Ovis aries: one gene and its partners. The protein of the gene in region 1 interacts with the protein of each later gene in a biochemical or structural test. Links are inferred from orthologs where the notes say so. Each region holds a gene or a part of one and is shown on either strand. Other genes may lie near its edges.

Region 1 (5,986 bases):
TGTTTAAGATAAAATTGTATCCAGCAATTCTTATGGCTGTAATTTTCATCATGCAGTATTCTTGAAATGCAATAGGCCAGAAACAGAAATGTCTTCCAAGTAAAGAAATATTAGAAATGAAAATTTCCATTTCTAAAAAGACTTTCAAAGTGATTTCTCCATTAAAGGAACAATTTGAAAAATGTACTTTTTCCTTGAACTCTGAGGAGTTGCCTTTTTTATCCATTACTTTAAAAGACTAAACATGGAGTCACAAGAGTAAACTAAAAGAATTGTATCTTCAATTTTACTTATTTTTGTGAATTAGAAAACAATTATAACCTGAAAAAGAAGCTATATAAAAGAGGAAAATTATTTTCCTATCATTAATCTGATTCAAGAGTAGTATAAACATTCATACATAGTAATACTTGTACTTTAAATATGAATGTCTTATATACCAGTATTTACAATGATTTCAACCAAAAAGTTCAAGACATGACCCTGATTTGACAAGGCACTGTCGGCTTTCTCATCAGATACACTCTTGGTTCCTATCTGATTTGCTGAGGATTCCAGCATTCTTTTTTCAGATTATTTCAAGTACTAGTCTGAGCACAGCAGCCTCACTGAGTTAGCTTCACTGAGTTAACTTTCTTGCTCACTGGCATCCCAAGGTGGTTGTGTAGAGTAAAGGTAACTACTTTAAATGCCCTTTTCAAATAACTGAGACCGAGTGTATGGGTGGTGGGGAGAGGAGAGATTTGCAAATGTGCTTTCCTCTCAACACCTTTATTTAGAGCTATACCCTTCATCATCTGTCCTTGAAGACACAAGTAAGAGGACAACCCCATCAGAGGATGCTGATACAAAGGGACTTACTGGTCCAGTTATTGCTACATGCTGCAAACGAGGGTCTTCCCATTGTGTTTTTTTACTATCTGAAGAAAGAGAGGAAAAAAAGAGGTTCTTTATTCTCATGCAAAAAATTCGATATTACAAAAGATAATGTAATGGGAAAAAAAATCACACTGTACATACTGTGATTTATGTAAAAGATTCTTCCATCAGTGTGAGTTCTTTCTTCCCATCCTGGCTATAATGAAGAACATATTTCATTTATATTAGGAACAGGTTTTCAGTGTATGGGCAGAAAAATGGTTTTGGTTATATGGTCGATTTAATTTGTATATTCCATTCTTGGTAGAAGACATCAACACTTCAACAACAATAATAATTATAGTTATGAAAGAACTATTTCATTCCGAAATACAAATGTTTGAGACAGTCAAGTTAGATGGGTAACAGTTCTATAAACTTACAGGTAAAGGCCCCAGGTCACTGGAAGAATCAAGTGATGTCTTTCCTCTCAGATGAGCTGGAATTTTCAGTCTTGGATCTTCCTTTTTTGGTAGAGTAAATAAAGAAAACAATATATACACACAAACTTTAAAATCATGAAAGTCAATCTGTTACTATGTTTTCTAATATCAATGAATTCACTTTCATTTGCTTACTCAATGAAATAATAGGTTCTCATCTAAAATCTCTCCTTCATAGGCTACAATATTCAGTTCTAAGGGACCCTGGCAATCCAGTGGTTAAGACTCCACACTTCCACCGCAGGGGGCATGGGTTCGATTCCTGACTGGGAAACTAAAATTCTACATACCTTGCGGCAGGCCAAAAACATTTTTTTTCTTTTTTAATTAAAAAAAATTCAATTAGATCTTGAGAAGGATCCGTATTAACTTACTTGCTCTTTCACAAAAACCATTTAGAGTATTTTGCCCACTCTTTAAGGATTATGTCACTACACAGGGCTCTTCTCTAAATAAAAACTGGTGTAAGAGTGGACATAAAGCTGGAGCACATGTTATTTCTGAGGCCTTGAACATGCTTTTTGGTACCCAGACAGATGCTAAGCTGTTAATTTATTATATATTAATTTATTAATTTTAAGAGATAAGAAGGTAAGCTCAAAAAGGTTATTAAAGCCAACTCAAATTATTGAAAGAAAGAACAAAATTTAATTTATTTGGATTTATTTAAATATTATCATTTCAATATTGTTTTATTAAGTAATGTATTATATAATTTTAATTTAGGCATATTGGTAACTTTTAAATAATTTATTAATCAAAATCTCTGCATTTACTGATAATTTTCAGTAGTTTTTCTATTAGTGGTGAACCAACTACTCAACAACTTTAAGCCTTATCTTAAAATAAAAATACTTATTCTACCTAGCTCATAAGGCTTTCTGAATATTATGAGGTATGGATTCAAAAGTACTTTGGAACTAGAGGCCTCATATAAAGGGAAATGATTATGACTAAATATCTTCCTGGGCATTTATGGCTAGGGAGCTAAAAACTGCAAACACAAGAAACACAAGACTTCCTTGGTAGTTAGGACTCCATACCTTCACTGAAGAGTGGAATGGGTTCAATCTCTGCTTGGGGAGCTAAGATCCCACAAGCCATGTGGCATGGCCAAAAAACAAAACAAAAGCCCACTGCAAACAGGAAGTAAATGTATAGCCTTAACAATCCCCCCGATATTAAAAATAGGTATAAATATACTGAATATAAATAATACTCTTAAGAATTCAACATATTTTTAAATAAGGACTAGGAATGGATTGGGTAGCCAGCCATTCCCTTCTCCAGGAGATCTTCTGGACCCAGGGATCAAAACCGGGTCTCTACCGCACTCCAAGCAGGTTCTTTACCAACCAAACAACCAGGGAAGCCTGTATTAATGTATACTTACAAAGATTATCAAGAACTACACGTAAGTGATTGTTATTGTTATTACAAATTTAAACTGGAAACCACTGAAGTTACCCAGGTGGTGGTTTTGGTGTTGTGGTCAATGAAGAAAGGCCTCCCGTTTGGTGCGTGCCGGACCTCCCAGCCTTTGGGGAGGAATCCTTGCTCCATTTCAGATGGCTGGGTCACCTGCTGTGCTGCGTCACTCGCGGGGGCCTGTGGCTGAGGGCCTGCAGAAGAACCCTGGCTTGACGGCAGCTGACTGGTCTCCACTGTGGCCTAGCACATTAATTCAATTATGTAGTAATGTTTACAGAGAACATACAAATAGCTGTGGTTAAAAAGGTAACTGAATCTGCAAACAGCACACACACTTATAAACAGGCCTAAAGACTGGAGGCTCATTTCTCCAATAAAGTGCTTTGTCAAAGTTTGTTTTTAAAACAATTTAAAATTTCTCAGCTAATTCTTGAGCAGTAAGATGCGGTTAACAGTCTGTTAACCCTAGTTGCAGGGAAGCCGCACTGACAACTACAGAAGGTTGTTTTTTGCTCACCCCAAAGACTCACATAGAGTGGGAATTTCCCACACGAAAAATGGGTTCAAATGGTGGTAGACAAGATAAATGGCAAACAGCCACTACAGAAATGGATAACTGAAATGTAATATATTCTTGTGATAAAATAAAAGGCAGCTAAAAAAAAAAAAACCCACTAGATCTATATATAAACCAACATGATATGATTTTAAAACAATAGTGAGCAAAAAATATTTAGAATTACATAATATCTTTGTTAAATTTGACACATGGACATAAATAATATTTTGCATTGTTTAGCTCTCTACTAAGTACATAAAATAGGCAGGAAGAATTCCCAACAAGCTCACAGTGATATTTCCCTCTGGGTAGCAGGGTCAAGTGCTTGATTAAAAGATAAAATCTTTTCCTCTGTATTGTATTTTAAAAAACAAAAAATCTAGAACCAAATACGGTGAGCTGTTAATGGTGGTAAATTAAGTGTTTTAAGAAAATGGATACTTACTATATTATTCTCTGTACTTTTCAGTTTTAAAAAATTTCTCAAGAGAAATTGTGACATTTTGCTAAATGCTTACTTACAAAGAAATATTATTAATACAAAAGGCAAACTGTTGCCAAGGACGCAGTGTCATTATGACAAAGTTCTTTGATAGATGCTAATCACCAAGATTATTTTTAGCAAAATAATGATCTTAACCATTCAAATTACAAAATTACCCAGTAAACCAGATCATTTACTTTGTCCTCCTAGTCCCAAATGGACTTATTTTACCTAATAACCAGTAATGACTCACACATATTAGAGATCTGCAGGAAATGACAGACAGCACCAATGTCAGAAAATAATTAGAAGTATCCAGCATCTACTACTAAGTGGTATATTATAACAGCGCCCATAGAAATATGATGGTTTAAATTACCTAAGAAAACACCATAATGAACAGACTGCAGGGTACCTGTACAGTGGGCTTTATCCAGGTAGTAGTTCTGCAGTTGTGATCCACATAGTATGATCTTCCTCTTTCATCTTGTTTTTCTTCCCAACCTGGTGGTAATCCAGATGAAGTAGGCAAAAGCTACAGTGAAGAATAACAGAATTAAATATTAATAAGAAAGAATCCTTCTTATTTATTGTATTTTATCATTACTATTTTTTAAAATATTTATTTATTTGGCTGTGTTGGGCCTTAGCTGTAGGACACGGGATCTTGGTTGCTGCATGCAGGATCTTTTAGCTGCAGCATGTGGGCTCCAGTTGCCTAATCAGGATTGAACCCAGTTCCCCTGCATTGCAAGCATGGAATCTTAGCCACTGGACCATCAGGAAAGCTCCCAGAAAGAATCATTTTTAAAGGACCATATCTCCTTTTTCACTGATAACCCTCTTTAAAACAAATCATGTTTTAAACCATACTTTAAAGTGCACAGAATTTCACTTAAAAAAAAACCAACAGAGCAGACAATAATGATGAGTGTGATAACAACACGCGAGTGGTAACAACCACTTACTGCTCTCACACAGACCATGCCATTTCACCGCCACACAAATCTTGATGAGATAATTAAGATTACTGGCCCATTTTACTTACGAGAAAACTGTAGTTTTAGAAAATGGAAGTAATTTCCTAACAGATAACATTGCTATTATGGAGCTGAGATTTGAACACAGGTAGTCAAACCATAGAAATTATCACCCATATGTGCCAAGTCAAAAGTTACCCCTGCTTTCTTTCTGTGAAGGCTGGGGAAGTGCTGATTACTGTAGTTTATTGCTAATGAACAAAAGAGGTCTAGTTTTCCAGGTTTACTGAAAACAGTCCAGGTCCGACCTTCCTTTTGTCTTTTGAGTTAGATTAGACTCTTCAACGTTTGGCCTGGTTCCCTAATGTGTCTTACATATTAATATAAAAACTATGACCACTAGTCTGTTCACTAGGTACACTGTTCTGTAGATACACAGAGGTAGATGTACATTGCTGACAGTTGTAATGAGCTCTGAGTCTATAAAATAATGGAATTCAAAGTTGCCCGGCGTTACAAATGTCTAACAGCTAGTGAGTAGATAAATGGAATGGTGTAGACACATCTACAATGATGGACTATCATGAGCTCCTGAAACATGTAGCAACAGGGATAAATCTCACAAACATCGTAGTAAGTGAAAGATGCATAAGATGGCATACTGTATGATTCCACTTAAACGAAATTCCTAGAAAAGGCAAAACTAGCAACAGAGAGCAGACGAGTAGTCACCTGGGGCTAAGAGTAGGTATTAGGATTAAGAACACTTTTTGTGGTGATGGAAGTGTTCTCAAACTTGACCGTGGTAGTGTCTGCACAACTGTATAAATTTACTAAAACTCATTTGTGTACTTAAAAATGGATGGATGTTATGGTATGTAAATTATACCTTAAGAAAGCTTTGTGAAAGCAAAGAAATCTCTAATCAATGTATTAAGAAGGAAAAGGCATGGAAACAGGTTTTCCAGTACATAAAATGTAAATCATCTCTAGATTCTGTAGCTCATTTGGTACACTTAAAAGTGTTTCTTGGATGAGTGCCTGTCAGTGAATCAGAAATTCACCAGTTTCACTGCATAGAGGACAATGCAAAATGCGGTGGGAGAGACGCCCAGGGATCTAAGTTTAAGTGGCTCCAGGTGAGTGGACAGAGGATGACATATCATGGCAT
Region 2 (6,086 bases), on another chromosome or scaffold:
GCTGAATTCCCATCTGAAATGTGGGTACTCACCAAGTCTGCTAATTCTGCCTGGGCTTCTGAGATCGGACCGGGGAGGCCTGAGTGCCTCCTCTCCTCTGGGAGAATGGAAAGACGCCTGTGGCCTACGTAGGTGGTGATTGGTAGTTCATGTAAACCAGTTATTCAGCCTCTTTTCTCCACTAATTCTCCTACTACACTGTTTCTAATCTCCCTCTATATCTGTAATTAAGTTTTTTCCAGGACGCCGATTCCATCCCCACCTTCGAATTACCCTGGATCCACCGGGGCTGGACCCCGGCAAGAGTTGGACTGTGAAGAAGGCTGAGCGCTGAAGAATTGATGCTTTTGAACTGTGGTGTTGGAGAAGACTCTTGAGAGTCCCTTGGACTGCAAGGAGATCCAACCAGTCCATCCTAAAGGAGATCAGCCCTGGGTGTTCTTTGGAAGGACTGATGCTAAAGCTGAAACTCCAGTACTTTGGCCACCTCATGCAAAGAGTTGACTCATTGGAAAAGACTTTGATGCTGGGAGGGATTGGGGGCAGGAGGAGAAGGGGACGACAGAGGATGAGATGGCTGGATGGAATCACTGACTCAATGGATGTGAATCTGAGTGAACTCCAGGAGTTGGTGATGGACAGGGAGGCCTGGCGTGCTGTGATTCATGGGGTCTCAAAGAGCCGGACACGACTGAGCGACTGAACTGAACTGATAGTCAGATATGTGATAGCTTAATGTGAATGAAACATGTTCTGGATGGTTCATCTGGGTTTGTTTACAGACATTTTTGTCTGGCTCATGAAGTTACTGTGGTGAGATTTATATCTGCTACCACCACTACTGCTCTGTCCATTTGCTTTCTCCATTTACTTCCTGGCCTCCAAGGCCTCCCATCTCCCGCCGAGTTCAAACTTAACCTCTTCTATGAGGCTTTCCCTCACTCCCTCACTCCATCTGTCTTGAGGAAGGTTTCTGTCTCTGACAGCACTTAATGCACCACCCAACAAACAGCACATGTGGCCAAATGTGACCCTGTGTCCATATTTGTATCGTTACACATTTAATGCCTCCTTGACTCCTCTGCCAGAGTTCTGAAGTTTGGTTAGCCTAGACCCAGGGGCACCAGGCCTGACACCAGGAGATGAGGGAATGATGAGACCCTCATCATTAAAATAAAAAGAGGTGCGAAGCTCTGAGTCCTAATCCTGACACAGCAGGTGGCCACCACTAGGTGGTAGTGTGACCAAGCATCTTCCGGTCTCCATGCCTCAGCTTCGGTATCTTTTAAAAGAAGATGTTATCTGCTTTGCTTGGGAAAACATAACATGACCCTGGGCTAGTAACAGAAGAACCTTAGTTTCCACTGTCACCTTCTCAGAATAGCAGAATTACTTTTCTGAATTACTATAAATTACTTTTATAAATATAGCAGAATTACTATAAATTACTTTTGGGGACTTCAGTATTCCTACACATAAAAAGTTAAACTAGATTTAAGTTTCTTAGAGTGTGGTCTCCAGGGTTCCTGGAAGTCTTTCAGGGGACCAACAAGGTCAAAACTATTTACATATTTACATAACAGTATTCATAGCTCTGAGCTTCCCAGGTAGCTCAGCTGGTAAACAATCCGCCTGTAATGCAGGAGACCCCGGTTGAATTCCTGGGTTGGGAAGATCCCCTGGGGAAGGGAATGGCTACCCACTCCAGTATTCTTGCCTGGAAAATCCTATGGACAGAGAAGCCTGGCGGGCTACATACAGTCCATGGGATCTGCACAGTCGGACACGACTGAGCGACGAAGCACAGCACAGCACTCATAGCTATTTCTCTTCATTCTCTCTTGTGAGTGTACAATATTGGTATTCTAAGGATAACTTGTAATGGATTTCTTACTGTTTTGAAGTGAATTAATATATTCACATTTCCCCCGTTTTCTTAAAAAGGAAATACATATGTATAAGCGTGTATATGTACACATCCATCCTATACAAACAAAAGTTCTTAAATGTCCTTAAGTAATTTTTAAGTGTAAAGGGGTCCCAAGACCAAAATATTTGAGAACTGTTGAACCAGATTCCTAGCTCGTCATTCATTCACTCAACATATAACTGTCCCTCCCGAGACAGCATTTCTTAACGAAGGAGATGATCAAGAAATAGTCCCCCCACCCAAAAAGAAAAAAGAAATAGTCCCCGCTCCCCCCAGGGCGTTTACATTTGAGAAGGACGAATATATCAACAAGACAACGTCTAAAAGCGGTGTCATGAAGACATAAAGCAGGACACGTGTCTCCCCCGCGCAGGGTCGGTCCGGGGTCCCTCACCCCGCTGAGCTGGCCGGGCGTTGGGGACGCGAGTACCGGGAACTAGGACACCGGGAAGCCGCTGGTGCCGGCGTACGGTGACGTCACTGGGCCGCGCCAGCCAATCACGGGCGCCCCACGGTCCTAGACCCCCGCGGCGGCCCGTGGCCTGCGGGCGGCGCTGTGGCCCGTCGGACGGCCCCACTGAGCCGCCATAGCCGCCCGCCTCCCACGACCCAACGTCTCCGTCGCCGGCTCCGCGCCGCCGCTATGGCCGACGTGGAAGACGGTGAGGAACCCTGTGCCCTGTCCTCTCACTCGGGGAGCGCAGGATCCAAGTCGGGCGGTGACAAAATGTTCTCTCTCAAGAAGTGGAACGCGGTGGCCATGTGGAGCTGGGACGTGGAGTGCGATACGTGCGCCATCTGCAGGGTCCAGGTGATGGGTAAGCGCAGCAGGCGAGGCCCCGGCTGTGCTGCGGCCTCCGCAGGCCCGGCTTCGGGCGTGGGGGGAAGGACCAAGCCTTGGAGAGACCGTTCCGGGAGGAGTAGGGGCGGGATCGCCCTGCCCCGGCCCCAGGAGACCGCGGGCCACGCCCGAGCTGGTCGTTCAGCAGGCGACTTGTGCCGGGGACGGGTATTCTGGGGGAATAGGGGGGTAGCAGGCAGGACAGTTAAACAAGGTCATTTCCAGTAGTGATCGGTGTGATCACGACAATAAAAGTAGGTGATTTGACGGGAGCTGGGAGGAACCACTTCGGTTTGTGTGGCCAGCGACCGCACCCTTTTCCGAAAGCAAACCACACAGAGGTCAAGGTCAAGGCCCTGAGTCAGCGGGTCAGTCGGATGGTTCTGGTCACACACCAAAGTGATGCTCTGGAGTCATTTTCCCCCCAAACGGCCGCTAGTCGTGCTCTGGAGAGGCGCAGGGAAGAAGAGTGTTCCTAGCCGTCCCCTTTCTAGATTGGCTACTGTTCTGCTGGCTTTTAAACCTGGATGATTCAAGATTGGTCAGATCGCACTCGGTTGGCTTGAACTAGAAGAATGTAAACCCTTTTATTCAGAGACATGAAGCTTCATCTCTTTACTGGCCACTCCCCATCCTAGCATGCAATTTCTTGGAGAAGGGTAGTGCCCTCAAGTCTGGCCTTTCTGGAAAGCCCTCTTTTGCAAACTTGTTACTTCTTTCTATGATATTTTTAATGAAAATATTGGACCACGTGAAGCCTTTCAGAGCAGCTTCATCTCGTTGTGTTTTATATGGTCTCTGTTTTAAGATCTTAGACGACCTTAAAAAAGAGTTGCTGTTTAAATGCACGTTATATTTTTAAATAGGGCATTTAAAACTACAGCATTTAAGAGTGTCTTAAATGTCATTTCTTGAAGGTAATTGGAGAAAACTGAGGCTTCTGTAGTTTGAAAACTTTGTGTCTTGCACTGAAAAATGAGACAGTTGGAGAAAGTAACTTAAAAGATGCTTTCCCTTCTTGAGCATTGAAAATTTAGACCTACCAGAAACAAGAGATTTCTCAATTTACTCTCTCTGTAGTATGCACTTATGTTTTTTATTCGTAGGAATTTGTTTTAAAGAGAATTTGCAACTATGGGATTCAAATATTTTTTTACTTTTTAAAAGAACTAGATTTCAGATGTGATCGACTTATTTTGTGTATCGGGTTTTTAGGTACTTAGTTTATGGGCCTGCAATACAGCCCCCTTGCCCTAACCCTTTCTTGAAAGCTAGAATCATAACTTCCAGTTTGTGGGATTTTTTTTCTTTTTTAGTTTAAAATAATTTTCCTAAAAGAGCATCTTATTTTTCTCCCCAAAGAAAAATTTTAAATTAGTAGGTAGAAATGCAAAATATAAAATAATGGTTGAAAGTTTGCAAGAAATAAACTTTACTGGGATATTTAAGGTAAGTCAAAGTATGGGCTATAAATGACTCACTTCTCACATTAACTTTCTAATTATAACAAGTATTTGCTACTGTGGATTAATGTTTCATATTTACAACAGCTGTACTTTGGGTTCAGAAAAGTATTCTGGGCTAGACCTCTGTATTGTGTTTATGAGGTGTTAAAATCTATTTGGTGGTCAGGTGACAGCAGAAGGAAGTGTGTTTTCTGGCATCATTCTAAAAGGTGTTACTGTACTCCTTAGAAATGCGCTGTTTTAGATATTAAGAACATCATCAAAGGAAAATGTTTTCTTTTATATGAAACTTTAGGAATTTTTATCTGTTCAGATCAGTTGTTGATAGTGAATCTAAATAAAAGCCGTAGGCATGATTCAGAGACTTCTAGATTCTATAAAAAGCCCACTTAATCCTGTGTCCTTGATATTTGAATTCATCTCATACACCTAAATGATTTGTTATAACTTCTTGATCTAAGAATTGCCAGTCAGCCCATTCTAATGTGGTTAAGACACTCTTCCTTGGTTTCCACTCTGCCGACTTTATTGGGAAAGGAGCTGCTAGCAAGCACCGGTGAGGAAGAGGGGACGAGGTTTGCTTGTATTGTCAAGGGATAAAGAGCCAGAGTAACCTTCCACAGCTATCTGTTAACTTGGACGTTTGACATAACCTTCTGGAGCCTTGTTTTCCTAACTTGTAAAAGAGACAGTTGGGATCCTGAACTTTCTGTGACTGCACAGAACCAGAGGCATGTCTTCCCCCTTATATCATGATCCTTGCGATATTTAACTGTTTACCTATCCACTTTCCCATTTACTGGTGAGACCAGGGACCCAGACTTGGTCATTTTGGTGGCCCCCAGGCATTACTCTTTGCACAGGGTAGGTACTCAGTAACTGTGAAATTGAAGAAAGCCTCAGGAGGCAGTGGTGGTTTTTAATCCACACTGAAGAGGCCAGGGTAGTGTGTTTTTTTTAAGGGTAAGAGCATGCAGAGAGGAGCAAACAAATGCCTGAGCATAATCCAGTGTAAGAAAAGAAGTAGGCTTCAACTCTATCCTGTTTCTATTTTTATAGAATTTTTCTCTAATTTATATTAAAATCTTTTTTTTTTTTCTGTTAGTTTGAACTTCCTTTCACCCAACTTTGACTGCTTTCAGCTAGTGAATGAGTCCATTTCTTTGGTTCCTAAAATATTCTATATTACGTTCTTCAAGCAAATGGTAGTACAGACTGAATTTTGAAAAGTTCTAGTATATCCTTTTGGTTCCCATTCCTCATGTTTACTCCCAGGTAATTTATTAAAATACTTTACCGTTGTTGGGTAAATGCTTTGGGCTCAGATTATTTGTAAAGGGAGCATTTCCTTAAAAAGAAAAAATAAGAGAGAGAACCTAATATTTAGGGTTTTTTAAATTTAATTTTTATGTAGGTTATACAGTCACAACTTAAAAACTTGAGAAAGTGTGCAGTGAAAACCCCTTCCCATTCCATCTCCTCCCAGGTGAACTTTATTATTAGTTTCTTGACTATCCTTCTAGAGTTTCTAAATATATGTAAGCAAATACCAATATATATTTGTGGCTTATTTTAAAGGATGTCTTGAAAATAAACTGTTCATAAAATTGATCTGTGTGCATGTGCCCAGGGAGTAATATAGTGAAATATAGCATATTTTTCTCTAGTAGTTACATCCACTGTCAGGACATGTTTTAATCAGCACTTGTGAAAATAGAGGGTCAGTAACTCTTGTGAAATTGCTCCTGGTCATAAGTAAATTAGTAGAGTGCCTTGTACTTTATTCATCTTTAAGCAGTTATGTTCAGATGAGAAATTAATAGTATGAGCCTTCTAATCTACATCTCTA
Region 3 (6,086 bases), on another chromosome or scaffold:
CTAGCGATCTACCTTTACAGCAACATGCCTAGCTTTATACCTATGTTAATTCTTTATACTGAATTCTCTGTTCAGATAGTTGGACAATTTCACACAACCCCCCAAAGCACACTTCAGGATCCCCATTGACCACAACCTACCTCTTGGGATTGCTATGTGGGAGCAGGACAGATAAGGGGACAGGTTGGAGGGGTACCACTGGAAAATTCCCCAAACTCTGTTCCAGTTCAGGGCTTTGGAAAACACCCCTTCCCTCTCTAGGTCCAGTCATTCTGTCATCTCCGATCTCTAGCCCCTGCAGCCCCAGTCACAGATAGTAGGCTCCAGGCAAAAGCCTGGGGCTTTGTACCTTCAGGGTATCTGACAACTTCTGTGATCAGCCAGAGCTGGGAACCACTATTAAGGAACAGGAAGGCTTGCCTGCCCTCTTGGTTGAGAAAGGGGAAAAAGTCCCTCAGTCTTTTGAGTCTCCTAGCCCTTCAAAAGTGAAACAAAGATGTGACATCTAAAGAAAAACCCTCAGCCGTGCTCGGTGGTTCAGGGAATAAGCATCCATCTGCCGATGCAGGGGACACAGGTTCAATCCCTAGTCCAGGAAGAGTCCACACTAAAGCCCACAACTACTGAGTCTACACTCCATAGTCCGAGAGCCACGACTAATGTGCCACAGCTAGCCTGTGCACCTAGAACCTGTGCTCCGAAACAAGCCCACCGCAGCAAGCCTGTGCACAACAGAGTAGCTCCCCCCTCCCCTCCACCTCCGTCACTCACGGCAACTAGAGAAAGCCCGAGTGCAGAAACGAAGACCCAGGGCAACCATAAATAAATAAATAAAAATACTAAGAGAAACAAAACTCTCCTCCTCACCAAGAGGATGAGAATGACCTAAATCTCACTGACACACCCTTTAGTAAACTAATCAGGGAACTGCAAATATGGGACAGTTTCAGCTCCAGGAGCTGGGCGGATGCAGGTCCCATCTCTGGCGGGGTGGGGTGGGGAACCTGGTGGGGTATTACTCACATCAACTCCAGCACACTCCTGTCCTCTCCTCCACTTCCCCCACCCACACTACCCTCATCCTTCCTTTTGGAATAGGAGTTTTCAAAGTGAGGATTACGAAATCAATTTAGGGCACAAGGATTAGCAGATTTTAAAAAGACAACGTATTACAGAAAACCTCAGAGGACATCACAATATACAATTAAAATTGTCTCAATCCTGATCTGTGACTCTTTCTTTTTTCCTTTTTAGGTGATACACTTCACAGTCTCCTTCTGGGGAAAAATAGCATTCATGACAAAATGCTTAAGCAGTTTTTATTTACTTTATTCTTGAGGTATAGTTAATTTATAATGTGTTAGTTTCAAGTGCACAGCAAACTGATTCAGTTATACACACACCCCCATATATTCTTTTTCAGATTCTTTTCCATTGCAGGTTATTGCAACATACTGAGTATAGCTCCCTGTGATACAGTAGGGCCTTTCTGTTTGCTGCTGTTTGCTGTTTAGTCGCCAAGTGGTGTCTGACTCTTTGCGACCCCATGGACTGTCGCCCCCGAGGCGACTCTGTTCATCAGATTTCCCAGGCAAGAATACTAGAGTGTGCTGCCATTTCCTACTCCAGGGGATCTTCCTGACCGAGGGCTCGAACTTGTGTCTCCTGCTTGGCAGGCGGATTCTTTACCACTGAGCCATCTGGGAAGCCATACAGTAGTATATGTAGTATATGTTAATCCCAAACTTCTAATTTATCTCCACCTCCACCCCTGACATGTTCAACAACGAACTGCCCTTGAGTTCCTTAGTGTGGTCCTGGAAAGGACCTGCCCTGTCCACCGCCTGGGAGCAGCCCCAACAATGCGTTCACATGGTCACGTGTTTTATGAAACTTGCAAAAGCTGGACACTTAAGCCAGAATGGGTTAAGCCTGCTATCTTGTTCCACTCAGACTTCCTCTTCATCACATTTCCCCTCCTGTCATGAGGCCTCAGTGTGGCCACAGCATGGTGTGTTTATAATCCTGTGTTTTAGTTCTTACACAGGGCCTCCAACACGGGAAAGGCTTCAGGCTCCACAAAACGAGACTCTCTCTGCCACCAATCGGGGTTGTGCACTGTTGGCCCACCTTCCCTCTTATGGTACTTACAGCAGCTGTTCTTGCACACCCATTATTGGGTGAGTTTTCTCTTTTTTTTCCCTTTCTTTTTGAAATGTATTATTAACATTTAAAATGCACACAGCAGGGACCTCCCTCGTGGTTCACTGGTTAAGACACTGCGCTTCTACTGCAGGGGACACGGGTTAGATCCCTGGTGGGGGCACTGAGATCCTGCATGCTGCATAGCCAAAAAAATAAATAAAATGCACACAGTAAACAAACAGTAGAAAAGAGCATGAAAGTGAAGTCGCTCAGTCGTGTCCGAATCTTTGCGACCCCATGGACTGTAGCCTACCACACTCCTCCATCCATGGGATTTTCCAGGCAAGAGTACTGGAGTGGGTTGCCATTTCCTTCTCCAGAGGATCTTCCTGACCCAGGGATCGAACTCATGTCTCCTGCATTGTAGGCAGATGCTTCACCATCTGAGCCACCACAGAAGTCCATCCTTCAAGAGACTTAATACCTTATTTTTAGACAAATGTAAGTATATTTATACATCATTTGTTCAGACAAACCGTAGCAATCTTTTCATTTCAGCACACAGAATTTGACCTCATTCTTTTCAACAACTGCATAGATTGCATGCGTGGATTTTTATTTTTATTTTGGCTGTGCCAGGGATATAGGCTGTGCCCTGCCTTTACCACCTGGTGGCTCAAACAGTAAAGAACTGCCTGCAATGCAGGAGGACCTGGGTTTGATCCCTAGGTCCAGAAGATCCCAGTATTCTTGCCTGGAAAATTCCACAGATACAGGAGCCTGGCGGGTTATACAGTCCATGGAGTTGCAGAGTCAGACACGACTAGGAGACTTTCACTAACTCCCTGACCAAGGATGGAAACTTTGCCCCCTGCAGTGGAAGCAGGGAGTCTTAACCACTGGACCGCCGGCAAAATCCCATATGTATGGAACTTAACTTAACCTTCAAGGGCAGATTTCATCATGTCCCCTGATGTACTACTTCATCGCACTTGTCCTGCAACGTCCATCCTGGTTTTGCGCAAGACCTTATAGAAACTTACCTGCTTCATAATATTTTCCAGTTTTTTACCCTTAACCTAAGAAATCTCACTCAAAACGAAAGTCAAGCAGGTGAATCACAAAGTTGGCCACCACGTGTCAGGAAATTAGCAGTGTGCTTCAAATCAAACTCTGATCCCTTAAAATCAAAGATGCACCAGCACCGCCCCGGGGGTAGTGAGACACCACCACGCCCCTTGCCCCGCCCCAACTCCCACTCCCACAATTACCCGGAAAGACCCGCCTCGGAGGTGCCGGAAGTTTACAAAACTACAGCGGCGAGCGGGGGCCGCACAGTGGCAGAGTCACAGTGAGTCAGCCCTAAGCACTCGGTCTCTCGCTGTGCCCAGTGGCATTCAGTTCCTCCCAGTCTGGTTTAAATCTTCGAGCCTGGAAAATGCTGGGAGGGCCGGGCGGCAAAGCCATAATGTTCTAGAGGGAGCAGCGCCACCGCGAGGCCAGCTGCGGTGGACGAGGCGATGAGATGAAGGCGCTGGGCTCGGGTCCTCCTCCCCGCACCGAGATTCCCACCGCCCACTTCGGAGGGTCTGGGTTTGATTTCATGGGAGCGATCGCAGTTTTTCCTGACTCTTCTCTGCCAAACAGAAACTGGTCTTGCACTTATCTGTCCGGCTCAGAGATTACTCAAGTGTGTGTGTGTGTGTGTTGGGGGTGGGGAGGAGGAGCAGTCATGTAAGTTCTCCCCAAACGTTTGTAGATGGAATGAAGCTGCCCCAGTTAGTGATCAGCGCTCCTACAGCTGGGGTAGGTTACAACCTCCATCCTGTGGGTATGAGCTTTTGCCTCCAGCGCCTTTACGATTAGTTCCTCTGTGGCTAACCGAACTATTCATTCGGCTCCCTGGGAGGAAGCAGTGGAGGTAGGTGGGAATTAGTTATGCGACTCGTGGAGTCAATCGGGACCTGCGGTCTCGGAGACTACAAGTTCCAGAATGCATCCTTCCGCTAGCGTGTAGGGAGAGGTCGGGGTTGAGGGAGCGTTGCCTTCTGGGAGTTGTAGTCTTGAGCTTGTTTGTGATGCAGGCGCTACCCGGGGAGGGGGGAGGGGGCGAGGCCGTAAACTATTAGCACGTGACGCCCGGGATCAGGCGGTAGAGCCTGCCTCCGCACGGGAGCTGTGACTGGCTGGCGCTTATCTGAACGACGCCACCAGGGGCGGGCAGAAGAAGGGCGCAAGCGCACTGCGTCGCCAGGCTCGGGACCCTGTTCCGAGGGACTATGGCGCTCAACAAGAACCACTCTGAGGGCGGCGGAGTGATCGTCAACAACACCGAGAGGTGAAGACAGTGCGGAATAACCCTAGAGGCCCGGAAGGGCGGGCATCGAGCGTGTGGGCGGTGGGCGGCGGGGCGTGAACCCGTGGAGAGGGGAAACTGATGGGTCGGGGGGTAACGAACGGCTTGGGGCGGGGCTGCGGGAAGCTGAGTGGGTGTTGAGGGAGGGGCCGGGATGCTTTGATCAGCTGTGGGATGGGGCCGGGGCGGCCGGATGGGGCGGGGGCCTTGCAGAGACAACTGGAGCTTGCGGGTCGTCCTCGAACCCCTTGCCCAGGGTAGGAGACGTTAGGAAACGCGGAAAGCTTTAGACAAAAGTAATTGCCATTTATTTAGGCGTTTACTGTGTGTCGGGGAGGGGCGACATCTGTTCTGCCTTTTTTCAGTGTGTGAATCCTGTGCGGCAGGTGCTATTACACTACACACTTGACATGTAAGGAAACTGAGGCACAGGGAAGTTAAGAAACTTGCTTGAGCTCACAAAGCTGTAAGTAACAGCGAAGGAGTCTTGATTCCAAAGTCAGTAGCCTTAACTACCAGTATGTAGCCTTCCAGTATATTCCAGAACTGCTCAGTTTCCAGGTGAGAAACTGAGGCCCAGAGGTGAAATTACATAGTTAACGATCGTCAGATGCCTGACATATTTCCTATAAAGGTCAGTTTTTGCCTCTTTCCCTTGAATTCCTATTGGCTCGGGTCACTCCCCAGAGTGGTCTCCCACCTGTCCTGCCCACCCCCCACTCCATTCTGTCTCTCCTACCTTCCGCTCCTTGAACGGCTTCTCTCCTCTTGCTCCTTGGGCGTTGAGAATCAGACCAGCCAGCCCTGGTTGAGTGACCCAAAAGCACCTCTTGAAGGAGCAAAGAAGGAATCTGAGTCCCCAGAAGAGACTTGGTGGGATCAGAGTCTAGACACTGGTTAAGGCCAGCACTCAGCCCAGGGCTGTAACCCGGCATGCTTGTTGAGTCAGGAAAGCACTCAGGGAGCCCACAGTACTGACTCTCTCCATGGTACCGGCACAGGGTCTGCCAGGCCCAGCCTGTTCCTGATCATGACCTCTTTTCTCTGAGCTTTCCCTGTCTTTTCTGGTACTGGTCCTCTTTCCACTTACCCCTCCCCAGTGAAGGAAGTTGTGATATCTGGGAGGGCAAAAAAAAAGACAAATAGAACCACGTGAACTTGGGCTGCGTTGTCTTGTAATCAGAGAAACCTCACATTGCCCTGGGTGTGTAGCCTCTCTGTGTGCGAGCCAGTCCCAGGGTGGACAAACCCTGCTGATGCCATTTGGTACCATCTCCTGGGACTGTTCCTTCTCTCTCAGTGGGGCTTTTCTGGGACAAGAATGTTATCTTAAAAACAAAAAAGAATGTTACCTGTCCTCCTGGGCCTCCTACCTGGTTTAGGACTCAGTGCTGCTGTGTAATGGTGTGCCTTATTTTTAGCAAATGCTTGCGCCCCAGTTCTGAAAAAGTTGTGTAAACAGTAACTGAAGTCTCCATTCAGCATATAAAGCTTGATGTGTGAAACAGTGAACCTCACTCTTCAAGAATCCCTGTGAGAGCGATGAGAGCTATGGACTGTCACAGGAAAAAGCACGTGTGTGATC

What was found.
Region 2: the proteins of NEDD4 (region 1) and RNF7 form a complex in vitro, tested with the Homo sapiens proteins (2 studies listed by BioGRID, with this or other methods). The link is inferred for Ovis aries from reciprocal best matches to the Homo sapiens genes NEDD4 and RNF7.
Region 3: of the proteins of NEDD4 (region 1) and WBP2, one has a biochemical effect on the other in vitro, tested with the Homo sapiens proteins (6 studies listed by BioGRID, with this or other methods). The link is inferred for Ovis aries from reciprocal best matches to the Homo sapiens genes NEDD4 and WBP2.

The regions. Positions count from the first base shown.
Region 1 is NC_056060.1:52,666,626-52,672,611, reverse strand, and holds part of NEDD4 (E3 ubiquitin-protein ligase NEDD4), read right to left. Parts: intron 4,371-5,986; coding exon 4,251-4,370; intron 3,033-4,250; coding exon 2,829-3,032; intron 1,383-2,828; coding exon 1,302-1,382; intron 1,076-1,301; coding exon 1,021-1,075; intron 921-1,020; coding exon 862-920; intron 1-861. UniProt on the Homo sapiens protein: E3 ubiquitin-protein ligase which accepts ubiquitin from an E2 ubiquitin-conjugating enzyme in the form of a thioester and then directly transfers the ubiquitin to targeted substrates. Specifically ubiquitinates 'Lys-63' in target proteins.
Region 2 is NC_056054.1:247,816,741-247,822,826, reverse strand, and holds the start of RNF7 (RING-box protein 2), read left to right. Parts: upstream 1-2,544; 5' UTR 2,545-2,573; coding exon 2,574-2,748; intron 2,749-6,086. UniProt on the Homo sapiens protein: Catalytic component of multiple cullin-5-RING E3 ubiquitin-protein ligase complexes (ECS complexes), which mediate the ubiquitination and subsequent proteasomal degradation of target proteins.
Region 3 is NC_056064.1:55,099,906-55,105,991, forward strand, and holds the start of WBP2 (WW domain-binding protein 2), read left to right. Parts: upstream 1-2,191; 5' UTR 2,192-3,338; coding exon 3,339-3,496; intron 3,497-4,367; exon of another isoform or gene 4,368-4,424; coding exon of another isoform or gene 4,425-4,483; intron 4,484-6,086. UniProt on the Homo sapiens protein: Acts as a transcriptional coactivator of estrogen and progesterone receptors (ESR1 and PGR) upon hormone activation. In presence of estrogen, binds to ESR1-responsive promoters. Synergizes with YAP1 to enhance PGR activity.